Linked DNA regions of Drosophila melanogaster. Changing the gene in region 1 together with any one later gene gives a genetic interaction. Each region holds a gene or a part of one and is shown on either strand. Other genes may lie near its edges.

The links.
Region 2: of qm (region 1) and Fpps, changing one enhances a phenotype caused by changing the other (phenotypic enhancement), as found in Drosophila melanogaster (one study listed by BioGRID).

Annotation. Positions count from the first base shown.
Region 1 is NT_037436.4:7,346,619-7,354,390, forward strand, and holds qm (quemao), read left to right. Parts: upstream 1-1,694; 5' UTR 1,695-1,991; coding exon 1,992-2,057; intron 2,058-2,244; coding exon 2,245-2,399; intron 2,400-3,785; exon of another isoform or gene 3,786-4,184; intron 4,185-4,650; coding exon 4,651-4,795; intron 4,796-4,848; coding exon 4,849-5,109; intron 5,110-5,176; coding exon 5,177-5,279; intron 5,280-5,352; coding exon 5,353-5,480; intron 5,481-5,616; coding exon 5,617-5,775; 3' UTR 5,776-6,115; exon of another isoform or gene 6,116-6,724; 3' UTR 6,725-7,004; downstream 7,005-7,772. Other genes in the region: CG14834 (uncharacterized protein), read right to left, coding at 1-427; Srp19 (signal recognition particle 19), read right to left, coding at 749-1,166, 1,239-1,303; CTCF, read right to left, coding at 7,260-7,361, 7,424-7,772.
Region 2 is NT_033778.4:11,304,873-11,309,623, reverse strand, and holds Fpps (farnesyl pyrophosphate synthase), read left to right. Parts: upstream 1-2,095; 5' UTR 2,096-2,181; coding exon 2,182-2,363; intron 2,364-2,664; coding exon 2,665-2,759; intron 2,760-2,832; coding exon 2,833-3,044; intron 3,045-3,103; coding exon 3,104-3,465; intron 3,466-3,525; coding exon 3,526-3,752; intron 3,753-3,812; coding exon 3,813-3,994; 3' UTR 3,995-4,113; downstream 4,114-4,751. Other genes in the region: CG7745 (uncharacterized protein), read right to left, coding at 99-1,468, 1,527-1,677; CG7741 (uncharacterized protein), read right to left, coding at 4,132-4,273, 4,329-4,486, 4,545-4,751.

The DNA.
Region 1 (7,772 bases):
TTGAAGTGCTGGCGCTCCTGGCCACCAGATCTCGCTTCTGCTCGAACTGCTGTGCGTTGCGCACAAAGCGATTGCTGCTCGGTCCCTGGATGACGATTTCGAATGGTAGATTCAACGTCTTGGCATTCATCTGCATGGTGCGAATGCACTCAGTATCGGATTGGTCGTCATTACACTCGCACAGGCACTCCTCGCCGCAGTAGAAGCCCAAACAGCCGCAATGCTCACACAGCGCCTTGCAATTCTTCTCGAGCTTCGACTCCGTCAGGGGATTCACATTGCGACTAGCTTTCGTGGATGTGGCCAATGTCGATGGCGGTTTGGTTGTCGTGCTGGACACTACACTTGCTTGGAACTGAATAGCAGCCAGTAGAAGTATCACCGTATAGCCACTGAGGCTGCTCTTCCGTATCTTTTCCGTCATCATTGTGGGTGCTCCAGTTCAAACTGTCTGGCCAATTGCGATGCGCAACCGATTTTATAACGCTGACCAGGTGAAATCGTAGATGTTCGTGACTGACAGTTGATTCTAGCTTACAGTTCGCCGGAATTTATGCTGACTTCGTGTGATCTTGAGACATTTCCCAATTGGGTTCTCTAATTGAGTTCTTTGTGCCGGTTTTTTTTGGCACACTTCGGCGTGCCAAGGCCGAATTCCCGCACTTGAACTTGGCCCAGAACACACATAAATCTTTGTTTACAGCGTTTATTACAAAAGAAACCAAACAACGAGTTGCCACTGAAGTCATTAGCGGCGCTTGCCCTTTCCCTTCTTGCCGCCACCACCACCCCCAGATCCGGATGCATTCGACTGTGGCTGCGACTGCTGGTGGTACGAGTCGCCGGATTTGTTCTGTCGCGTCTTCAGCTGCGGTATCTTGCTGGCGATATGCAGCATGATGGACTCGCGCGTGGGAAAGTCATTATTGTACAAAGTGCCATCGACATTACGCAGCTGGACGCGCACACGACCACGGAACTCCATCTCGCTGCTGTTCTCGCGACAGTACTTCTTGTTCTCCATGAGGAACTGCAAGTTGGAAACGGACAGCACATCGCGAATCTCAATATAGCTGGGATTGTCTACACAGTTCTCCTTGGGCAGCCGTCGACCCTCCTGGCGTGTCTTTTTCCTATTGATGTAGGCGGGATATATGCAAATCCATCTGTGTTAACAACAATAAGAGTTACATGCGAAATCGAACTTTGTGTTTTGTTGGCCAGTGCCTGGTTCCTACCGCTCCATATCGTTGTGTTTCATGCTGGGGCTCCAGTTTTTTTTCATGGGAACTGCTGTCGCCATTCTTTCAGTGAATTCTTGGTTGGTTTATTGCAATTCCTGTGTAATTAACAAAAAATGAGCTAGAAAGCTATTTTCCACGCAAGCAACCCAATTGAAATAGGGATGGCACGTGCAGCTGGCCGAGTAATCGATATTTAGCGAGGAAGCCAATAATTATATGGCTTTTTCTGGCTACTACGTAAGAGGTTATTTATAAGCGACTTAAATTAAAAGAGTACATGAAATAAATTATTTTAGGTAATTTTAATTTTTGGCTTATCTGGTTTAATAGAAGTTGGCGGAAAATAGCCAACATCTATTAAGCCACATTTCCCATCTCTTGTCATATCGATGATACCTCTACAAAAAGCCCTCCTAACCCTATCGATAGAAACATCGACTTGCGATCATCTCCAATATGCAGGCCGCGGAAGAACTTCAATAACAGTCTGTTTTTGGTCTTTCCGTGGTGTAATTGATTTGAGTTGTGCGGATAACGCGAAAAACCAATCGACGAGCGTCGGCCAGCAATTCTAGTCACGCGTGTCGCGAAGCCAAGCGGTAAACAAAAAGCACGCCCCACACCGCAGTGACCCCCCTCCATCAACACCAACACCACCACCCCCCGCGCTCTATCAAAACAACAAAAGCACACACGCAAGGCCACGGCGGAGCAGCAACAAGAAAAACAACAACAACGGCGACAACAATGGAAGAACTGAACATCATATTACAGAAGACCAAAGATAAATCAACGCAAAAGGAGCAGGATGAGGTACTTATCCCACGGCTTAATCCTTCCGGACCCCGTGAACTTTGACATTCGAAAGTGGCAAGCGAACGAGAGACACAACAGCAAACTAACCAGCTATTTTGGCCTTCCTTCCGTTCTCCTTCTTTTTCGACCCACTTCATTTTGGGCTTTATTTACATGTGGCCCACGCACGCAAAACGCTATCCAGATTCTGCTGCAGCCCTTTACATACATACAACAGATTCCTGGCAAGCAATTCCGCTCTGAGTTGGCCTTGGCCTTCAATCACTGGTTGCTCATACCGGGCGAAAAGTTGGCGCAGATCGGAGACATTGTGCAGATGCTGCACAATTCCAGTTTGCTGTGAGTATATATCAATTATCTGATTAATAGCCCTATATCAGATTAATAGCACGCCAATAAATCAGCATGAAACTACAGACAATGCAGTGTTTTTGGCCCAAAAGTGTATATACTGCGTATATACTCTATTAAAAAGTTTAGCAAAGTTAACTTAAGCGATAAATATTATCATAACAAAGTACTGACTAACTGGCATATCAATATTAAAACAAAATATTTTACTAAAATATCACAATACATACTTTTGTACTCACTAAAAATATGTCTGTAAGAAACCATATAAAATCAGCGCTAGTTTAAATACCTGTCGATTTATTGCCAGCCAACTAATCATGCTAGTCGTGCTTTACTTTTTAGTTTTGACCTTTGCCTTCCTTCGTTTTTCTGCTCCCCATTATTTGGCTTTGTTTACGCTTTGTTTGTGCCCCCCCCCCCCCTTCAAACACAAAACACCCGAACGTTTGACCCCCACCCCGTTTTGGCCACTTCTCCTGCATGTTTTATCTCAATTCACACTTGCAGAGTCTGTATTTGTATACATTTGGCTTATTTGCTTTCGTTCAGATGGATTCCAGTTAAATGCCTAATCGAGTGTAAAGTTCTTTTGGGCAAGTGATGAAAACAGTAGAGACTCCACGCTCCAAAAATGTGAAAATGCTGCCATATGCTCGTTGAAGAAACTCTTATCATCATCAGCTCAGTTCGTTTCCACAACGCGCATATGTTATATAGAACTTTGCTTTATCATTTCGTTGACTCACTCGCACTCTTTTCCCAATTGGATTTGACCATATACACAGTCTCGCACATTTGTGGATTATTTGGCCAGAGCGTTGTACGCTGGCCTCAAATCAATTTTCAAATTTCATCATGAGCCCGCAGGTTTCTCTGTTTACAATTGAATTTCTTTGCAATCCAATGTGGATTCGGAAATTGCATAAATTATTTAGATTTTTCCCCCAGGGCGGCCTACGGAGGAAAAGCGATGAATAAGATGATGTTGGCTTGCCAACAAAACAGTCGCAATTAAACTTTGAACTCAGCCAATTGAAGTGTCTGCGCCGCTTTTCAATTGAAGGCAGTAAAGTGAGTCGAAGTGACCAGGGATTTTCGCCTATCTTCAGGCAGCAGCTATGGAAGTATTCATCTCGCTTTCAAGCTAATCCCGTCCTGCCTCCGGCCACCTGTCGCCATTAACCATTCGGAGGCAAACACTCAGGAATGGCCTTAATTCTGCTTAAAATCCCCAGCATTGTTCCTCGAGACAGCAGGCAGTCTCATTCCTCCGCCAAGTGGCCTGCATGTTCTTGGTGTTCCCTACTTTTTTTTTTTTTTTTACGTTTTTAGTAATGCATTTTCATATTGGCAAAAAACTTAGTTTTTACAACGACGCCAGCAGTTGCAGCCATAGTGCCTCCTCGTACGACCCTCGTCCGTCCGTTCGTCATTCATGCACTTATGCCCATTGTCAGTTAGTCAGGCCGTCGCCAGTCGACAGGCATTGTCACAACTCTTGCCACGCAGCCCATTTTCCTCATTTTCCCCAACACCAACCAGCCTCCTTTGCACCCAATCCCCATCCCATACCATACCATTCCTCATCCCATCCTTTCCATATCCCGGCCCCTTTGTGCGTTGTCGCTTCAACGCCCACGCCTTCGTGCCAAGCCATCCAATCCCGTCCCGTCCCCATACCATCCATATTCCCTACCAATGACTTTGCCAGCTTTGGCGGAGCGCAAACATTTTTTAATTACGCAAATGTTGGGCTGCCCAGCTCGTTTTACCCGCCGGGCATCGTAGTTATTGAAGCGATGGCGGCCTTTAAGCGAGGCTTAAATTTACACATCCATTATTTTGGTGGAATGAGGAGCGCCAACGTATGTTTATAAATATGAATGTGGATGGTGGACACATGGAATCCGCGGCTCCCTTCGCTCGAATTGTGAAATTCTATTTAAAAACCCATACTTTTCTATGCAGTACGTGTTCATATAGTGCAATTCTGAATTAATTGCTATACAAAAACATCTGCTGATAAGTAAACTATTGAATCTTAAAACCAAGAACATATTTTCACATTTATTCTAATTTCAAAACATTACTGGCTCGAATTCTTTCTTTGCTAAGTTGATTGTAAGGTAGTAAAATTGTAGTATCTAATGCTTGAAAGTATATTAAGCTTGAATACAAGTACACAATTAACTCACGGCAAATTATATACATGTATGTTCTTGATACTAACTTACAGCATTGATGATATTGAAGACAATTCGATCCTTCGCAGAGGTGTGCCCGTGGCGCATTCCATCTACGGCGTGGCCAGCACCATAAATGCGGCCAACTATGCACTCTTTCTGGCGCTGGAGAAGGTGCAGCAGCTGGATCATCCGGAGGTACGCAAATCCACCTCTACTATGAAGCTCAAAGTAATCCGCGTTTCTTGCAGGCTACCAAGGTGTACACCGAACAATTGCTGGAGCTGCACCGTGGACAGGGCATGGAGATCTATTGGCGCGACAGCTTCACGTGTCCATCCGAGTCGGATTACAAGCTGATGACTGTGCGCAAAACTGGCGGCCTCTTTATGCTGGCCATTCGCCTTATGCAGCTGTTCAGCTCCAACAAGGAGGACTATTCGAAGTTGACGGCTATATTGGGCCTGTACTTTCAGATACGCGACGACTATTGCAATCTGAGTCTGAAAGAGGTGAGTGTATAGATTGGTTGGCAATATGCATAAGTCATTGTTAATCTGTGATAACATTCCGATGTAGTACACGGAGAACAAGAGCTTCGCCGAGGACTTGACGGAGGGCAAGTTCGGCTTCCCGGTAATCCATGCGGTTCGCACCCAAAAGCAGGATAAACAGGTTCTACGTAAGTCCAACGTCTTGACCTCAACCAAAGGCTTTTCACTCATTAAGCTGATGGCTTATGGTTATATCCACAGACATATTACGCCAGCGCACGCACGACATTGAGGTCAAGAAGTACTGCATCACCTTGTTGGAAAAGCTGGGCAGCTTTCAGTATACACGCAAGGTTCTGGAGTCGCTCGACGCAGAGGCTCGGTCGGAGGTTAGTACTTGAAGACAAGCAATGGGAAGTGGAAGTTGCTTGGAAGTCTTGATGATGTTAAAAGTAGAAATTCGCACACATCCCATCGTTGCTACGTGTTTTGTGCTAAACTAAAGTAATCTCTCAACCCACACAGGTGGCTCGTTTGGGTAGCAATCCGTACATGGACCGCCTGCTCAACAAGCTGCTGTCGTGGAAGACGAGCGATAGCGCCAGCATCACGCAGTCGAACCAGATCAATCACAACAACGTCTCACGCAGCAGCCCCAACCAGAACACGCTCAATTGCAATTAGCAGCCAAAGAGGCAAAAGAGGGAGCAGTCGTGAATTGCGAACGGCAGAGCCTCTTTTGCCGCCAATCCGGGACAGCAGCAGGCCAGCAGCCAGCCGACGCCTGCGTGCCTCAGTGCGCCCCTGTTGCGTTTCCTGCAGAAGCTGAAGATATTCTGAGATTTATGTTACCCTTTGCCAAACCGAAAAGCCCACAGAGAACCCCTACCTTACTGTCAACCGAAACCAGAGCGATGAGAACGGAAATAGGAGGAGGATAGGATTTGGATTTGATAGTGAATCGGATGAAATGGGATGGATAACAAAACCAACAGCAGCCTTACAGAAAATTGTTAAGCCAAAAGTAAATTGATATAAGCCAAGCTTATCGTTGAGCTAGCAAAGAGCCATATTACAGCTTTCCAAGAATTTGTTTTTTTACTTTTACATTTTACTTTATACTTTTAATTTAGTTTTGCTTCAAAGTTACGTAGTTAGTTAGCTCGTTTAGTTTCCCCAGTTTTAGTTTCGCCCAACGAATGGGAGAGGGGGGGGGGGGTGGGGATCAAGCAAATCTCGCAGAGCATTACTGAATTATAGAATATGCAATTTTTTAGCTCTTGTATTTCTAAGTGTGTTTCGTATTCGTAACTCAATTCTGCAAGCAATTTTCAATTTCTAAGTGTCATTTTATCAAATCTAACTCACTCGGAACTCAATGTGCACTTCCTTTATCGACGTTGTTCCATTTTAATTGTTATACAAATGCGATTCGTATACATACATACATATGTACTATTAACGACAAATTGTTAATGTTTTATGCAGACACTATAAAATCAACACAAATGAACGCAACTATATATATTGAAATAATGATAATGATGCACTGCACGGCAGGTTTTTGCACATTGCACCACCTAAAAAATATATACATATATTATATATAAAAATATATATATTTTTATTGTAGTTATACACATGAAAGAAACAAAAAGAAATAAACGGCAAGAGAAACCGGAAAAATAACAAGAAAATTAACCAGATTGCTGAAGTGGAAATGGAAAACTATAAACTATGCGAACATTTTACGGTAGAAACGACAACTAATAGCCGAGAATTTACAGTGCACGCCCAGATGCAGCTAAACGCAAACGCACCTAACATTTTGCCCATATACTATATACTACTAATGAAAACATTGAAATATATGTAAATGTATTTAAATAAATATTTATGCCAAGTTGTCAACTAAAGTTTAAGTGTCGGGGATCATTTACAAATAGTCGCCATATCGGCATGTTAACTGCTTATCCAGAATTATACATTCATTTAGAAAGAATACATTTTTAATATCCATTTCTTAACCTAGTAAAAATAGGTTTCCTAACTGTTTTAAATGTGTATTTAAATAGAAAACAATGTAACGTAGAAATACGTTATTGTATGCTTGGTATGTACATAAGTTAGTCATAATTACTTATCCATTAGCTTTTGTTTTCAGGAGACTAAGAGTCCTGCTCAATCATATCCATCAGCTGCAGAAACTCCTGGGAAGCGCCATCGACCTCGTTTTCCCCATCGCCATACTCCTCATAATCATCGTCGTCCTGCATGAAAACCAAATTTTTGAGTAATGGAACAAATGCCAGCTAAAGTTTTTGCAACTAACCTCGAAACCAAAGCAGTTTTTGGCACTGATCTTGGAGTTGGCGCTCGGTTCGTGCTTGACCAACACCTCCTCGTCGCCATTAACCAGCTCTACGACCATTACCTCGCCATCATCCCCTTGCCATTCCACGGTGAAGTCCGAGTTGTCCGGCTCCTCCTTGATGTGGAACGTCTTGGTGCCCCGTTGACTTCGGAGGCGTTGATTGATGATCATCGGCTGCTTTTCGGAGGCGGCAAGCCTGGCCTGTTTGTTGATAATGATAGGTGCTGGCTTGATTCTCTGACGGATCGGATCACTGACTATGGTTTCCACATCATCATCGGCGTCTTCAGCCTCCGAGTTCTCCGGC
Region 2 (4,751 bases), on another chromosome or scaffold:
AAAGCGATGCAATTACTATTATCTGACAACCGTCTAACGAATAACATAAGTTAAGGATAATAGATTACATTATTTACAAATACCTAGTAGCTAGCCCTTTAATCGTCGAAGAATAGTATTTCTAGGATCCGTTTCTGTGCACTTTTCTTCCGTTCCTTGTTCATTTTCAGCAGTTCCGTGGTGACTAATTCTCCCAGCAAATGCTCAGACAACCGCTGCACACCCGGATGATTGGGCGGCGCCTGGAATTTCCCGAAGTTTGCGGGATGCGAACTGCTGGCCTGATGTGGGAACTGCTGGTATAACTGGAAAAGGAAGTCCGTGTTTGACGGAAACATGTTCTGGTGCTGTTGCTGCTGCTGGTTGTTGTGGCTATTATTGCCGCTGGGATTGTTGCTCCCGCTATTGCTGCTACTGTTATTCCCATTTCCATTGCCCCGCTGCATGGGCATCGAATTGCTGTAGTGATTCTCCTGCTGCATCATAGCCTGCGGCTCCATCAGATCATGGCTGTTCTCATCGGATTCGTCGTCCGAGTCATTGCCAAAGTGACTACCATTGCTGGTCATCTGGTTATGGGCATTGCCATTTAGTTGAATACGGGGTTTCTTCATATGGAAATGGCTCGATGACGAAGAGTCTAGACCATCGCCCTTGGGGTTATAGACATGTGACTGTTGCATCTGCAGAGTGGAACTGTTGCCGATGGAAGCGCCCGTGGCGCTGGAAGAGGAATGTACCACCGGAAGCTGCTGTTCAGATGCCGGCGACTGTTGCTGCGCTTGTTGCTGCTGCTGCTGCTGTTGTTGTTGCGTCTGCTGCTGAGGATGATGGGATCCTGCCCCAATTCCTTGCAGCGGCGACGACAGCGGTGATTTCATCGAGGATGATGTTGAGGTCAGACTGCCAGCGCTGTTCTGGGCCCCGTTCATGCCCACGGAGCCATCCTTGTATTGATCCTGATAACCTTGCGAGGAATCAGCCATTACAGCTGCAACGGCCGCCGCCTGTTGCTGCATTTGTGACTGTGATATGTGCTGGAGCTGCTGTGAGGCCACGGCAGCCGCAAAATCCCTGAACACCTGGTCCGCCTCGATCTTCACCTGGCCATTGACGTTTTCCAGCGCAGATGCAGCAACGTTACTCAGAGCACTCATTGCGTGTTGCTGATCCGGCTGGTGGTAAAGATGACTTTGCCCTGAGCTGCCAAACTGAGACACATTCTTCATGGAGCCATTGGACTTATCAACCTGGTATTCGTTGTAGCCGGAGCTGTTGGCGGACTGTGGAGATGTTAGGAAGTTCGGCACATGGCGGTAGGACTTGCGCGGCTGGATGTGCTGGTCCAAGAACTTCATTTTCTCCAGGTATGGACGCGACAGGTGTTCGTAGACAGGTGGATCGCCCTGCTTCCGCTGCGACACGTAGCGTTCGCGTAGGTACTTCCACCGCTTCTTGCACGTGTCCACTGGAAAGGAGGGCAACATTTATATAGAGGATCTGCCGGAGGAGCGCGTCTTCCTCACCATCCGTGCGCAGCTTCATCGCAATCAGCTGCCAGGCCTCGTCCTTCGTCTCGTACTTGCCACCATTGGCGCCGCCGTTGAGGTAGTACTTCTGCCGGTTGTAGATCACTCCGTGCTGCGCTACCTCGTCAATTAGCTGCTCATCCATCATTTTAGTTTAATTCGTGTTTTCAGCTGCCAATTTGCCTTTGGTGTATGTCAGGCCATTTCCAACACTGTTCATGGGACATCGAAACAGTGTGACCGAAAATGTAGCAGCAGAGTGTCAAATATAATTTGAAGATATTGATATCGAAATATATTCGACAATTTGCATCATGTTTAAATTCGTCAGCATTTTGATTTATATATAGTAATGCATTTAATTAATTAACACGCAATAAAATTAATAATTTCAGCAAAAGTAAATCATTTGCTGTTCCTGAATTTACTAAATAAAAATGTTTAAAAATTTAACTTATAAGTTACCTTCACAAAATTCTCGAAAAATAAAAGTCAGCTATAAAATAGTTGCTATAAACGTATTATGGTTATTTGAAATTTTAAGGTGGGTTCTTTTGCGAACCGAGATTCAGTCACACTGGCAATTTGGTACCCGAAGTTGAATTGCCGTTTTGTGAAGCGGATAGTTACCTGCCGATAATCTTAAATAAAAATGTTTAAACTGGCCCGTATGCTCCTGCCGCAGCAGCGGATCCTGGCCAGCCCGCTGCGCCTGCAACGCCTGATCTCTACCAGCGACGAGGTCAACGCAGAGCCCATCATCAAGTCCATGGACACCATTGGCGGCCTCCCCACCGAACTGGTCAACGAACAGAAGCTGAAGAAGACTAGCAGGTAATCAATCTACCGGTTTTCGCACTTGACCTTTGCCTTGCCTGTTTGTTTTGTTTACATTTCGACCGGTATGGGCATGGGCATGGTATGCATGTATCGGAGGCCTGTTTTGGGCGTGATTTTCGAAAAGGAGTTTCGGGGTCTTTTTTTCTTGATTTCAAGTGGGGGAGAAAGTTTGTATCGAGCCGCTTATGCAGTCACGTAGACCATAGATGCGTGCATGTGTGTGTGTATGTATTTGTGCCTGCCTGGTGGTGTCAGTTATGGGCTCTATTGTTCTTGACTTTTGTTTTGTCCACAGAACCTTATCGACGCTCCAAAATCACTCGGTTCCCATTGCCGCTCGCGTCACGGTGTCGAAAGATGAGAGTCGCGACTTTATGGCCGTGTTCCCAGGTGAGATTTGTTTATTTATGCCCAGTAACAATTATCATGCAAATACTAATGCTAATTATATTTCGATGTGCAGATCTTGTGCGTGACATCACCACCGTGACGAAGGCATACAATTGCAGCGACGCAGCCAAATGGTTCGCCCAAGTCCTCCAGTACAATGTGCCCAGGGGCAAGAAGAACCGCGGCATCCTCACCGTGCTCACGTATAAGAATCTAGTGCCCACCCAGGATCTTACGCCGGAGAACATAAAGCTCGCCCAGTATCTGGGCTGGTGTGTGGAAATGGTAGGAGTTTTATGCATTAAATAGTTTTCCTAATACAAAGTTATCGATCATCTTTTCAGCTCCAAAGTTTTTTCATCATCTCAGACGATGTGATGGACAACAGCACCACCAGACGCGGCCAACCCTGCTGGCACAAGGTGGAGAACGTGGGCCTGACTGCCATTAACGATGCTCTTATGATTGAAAACGCCATGTATGCCATTCTCAAGAAGCACTTCAGCCACTTGGACTGCTATGTCGCCCTAATGGAGCTCTTCCACGAAATCACATACATCACTACCTGCGGACAATCGTTGGACCAACTGAACTCGAACCGCTGTGTCTCGGAATTCACAATGGAAAACTACAAAGCAATTGTCGAAAATAAGACTGCCTATTACTCCTTCTACCTTCCATTCGCACTTGCTTTGCACTTGGCTGGGTAAGTAATGGCCATACATATATAAGATTCCGCTTATTAATCTTCCGCTCTATTGTTTAGCTATAAAGACGCAGAGGCCTTCCGTCAATCGAAGACCATTCTCCTAGAAATGGGCAACTTTTTCCAGGTTCAAGATGATTTCCTCGACTGCTTCGGTAATCCGGAAGTGACTGGTAAAATTGGAACCGACATTCAGGACAACAAGTGCTCGTGGCTGGCAGTGGTGGCAATGCAGCGAGCCAATGTCGAGCAAAAGCAAATCATGGTCGATTGCTATGGCAAAGAAGGTAAAACTAGCTTAGCAAACCCGCACAATTAGACATTGACTTTTGAATATTAACCTGCAGAACCAGCTAAAGTGGAGCGAGTGAAAGAACTGTACAAGGAACTTGGACTGCCATCCACCTATGCCATTTTCGAGGAGGAATCCTACAACATGATTAAAACGCACATACAACAAACCTCACGCGGGGTGCCTCACCAGACCTTCCTGCAAATACTCAACAAAATCTACCAACGTGACTCCTAAATTACTCAAGCGCAACGACTTTACGGATACGTTTTTAATTAAATTGTAGTTTTAGCATTTACATGGATGAACTGTTAGCAAGGGCTCAGCAATTACAACCGATATGAACTTTTTACTATACATACAATGTTCTTTGCTTAATCGTCTGTAAAATCAAAGGGCGCAAAAGCCTTTCGGAAATCTTCCACATACGCCACTTCTTCGTCCTTATCGAGAAGGCAATCCTTCCAGTTCACTTTTTCATCGCAGTTAAGAAGATTCTCCGAACAGAACACGTCCCTGAAAAAATGAGTTTAGTCAAGAGTTGGTAGCTTAAATCGAGAAGTTAACGCACCTTGCGAAATGAATGGGAAAGTGTTTCATTTGCCGCGTTATAAGTGTGCTATCGTCGGGTAACTCGGCCAGGAAATAAGGTCCCATTTCAGGCAGCATTTTCTCAGAATCCAATGCGGGAAGTGTCTCAAATTCCAGATTAAATTCCTCCGCCTTATCCTGCAATGTTGTGGGATATACATCATATGTTATAAAAGGTTGAATGTCGTGAGCATACCTCAAAACTATGTTTTATCTTCCAGGCATAGCCTTCTTCAAAGGCAAGCGCGTTGATTTGTAGGTGAACCGATTTATAGTGCCGTTCAGTAAAACACACCACTTGGCCTAACGTTTTGAAGAACTTTCGCAAAGCTGCCTTGAACTTGTTGAGCTCCTTCCAATCATCTGGACTTAGTTGAGCAGCGCAGGGCACATGCTTGGTGGA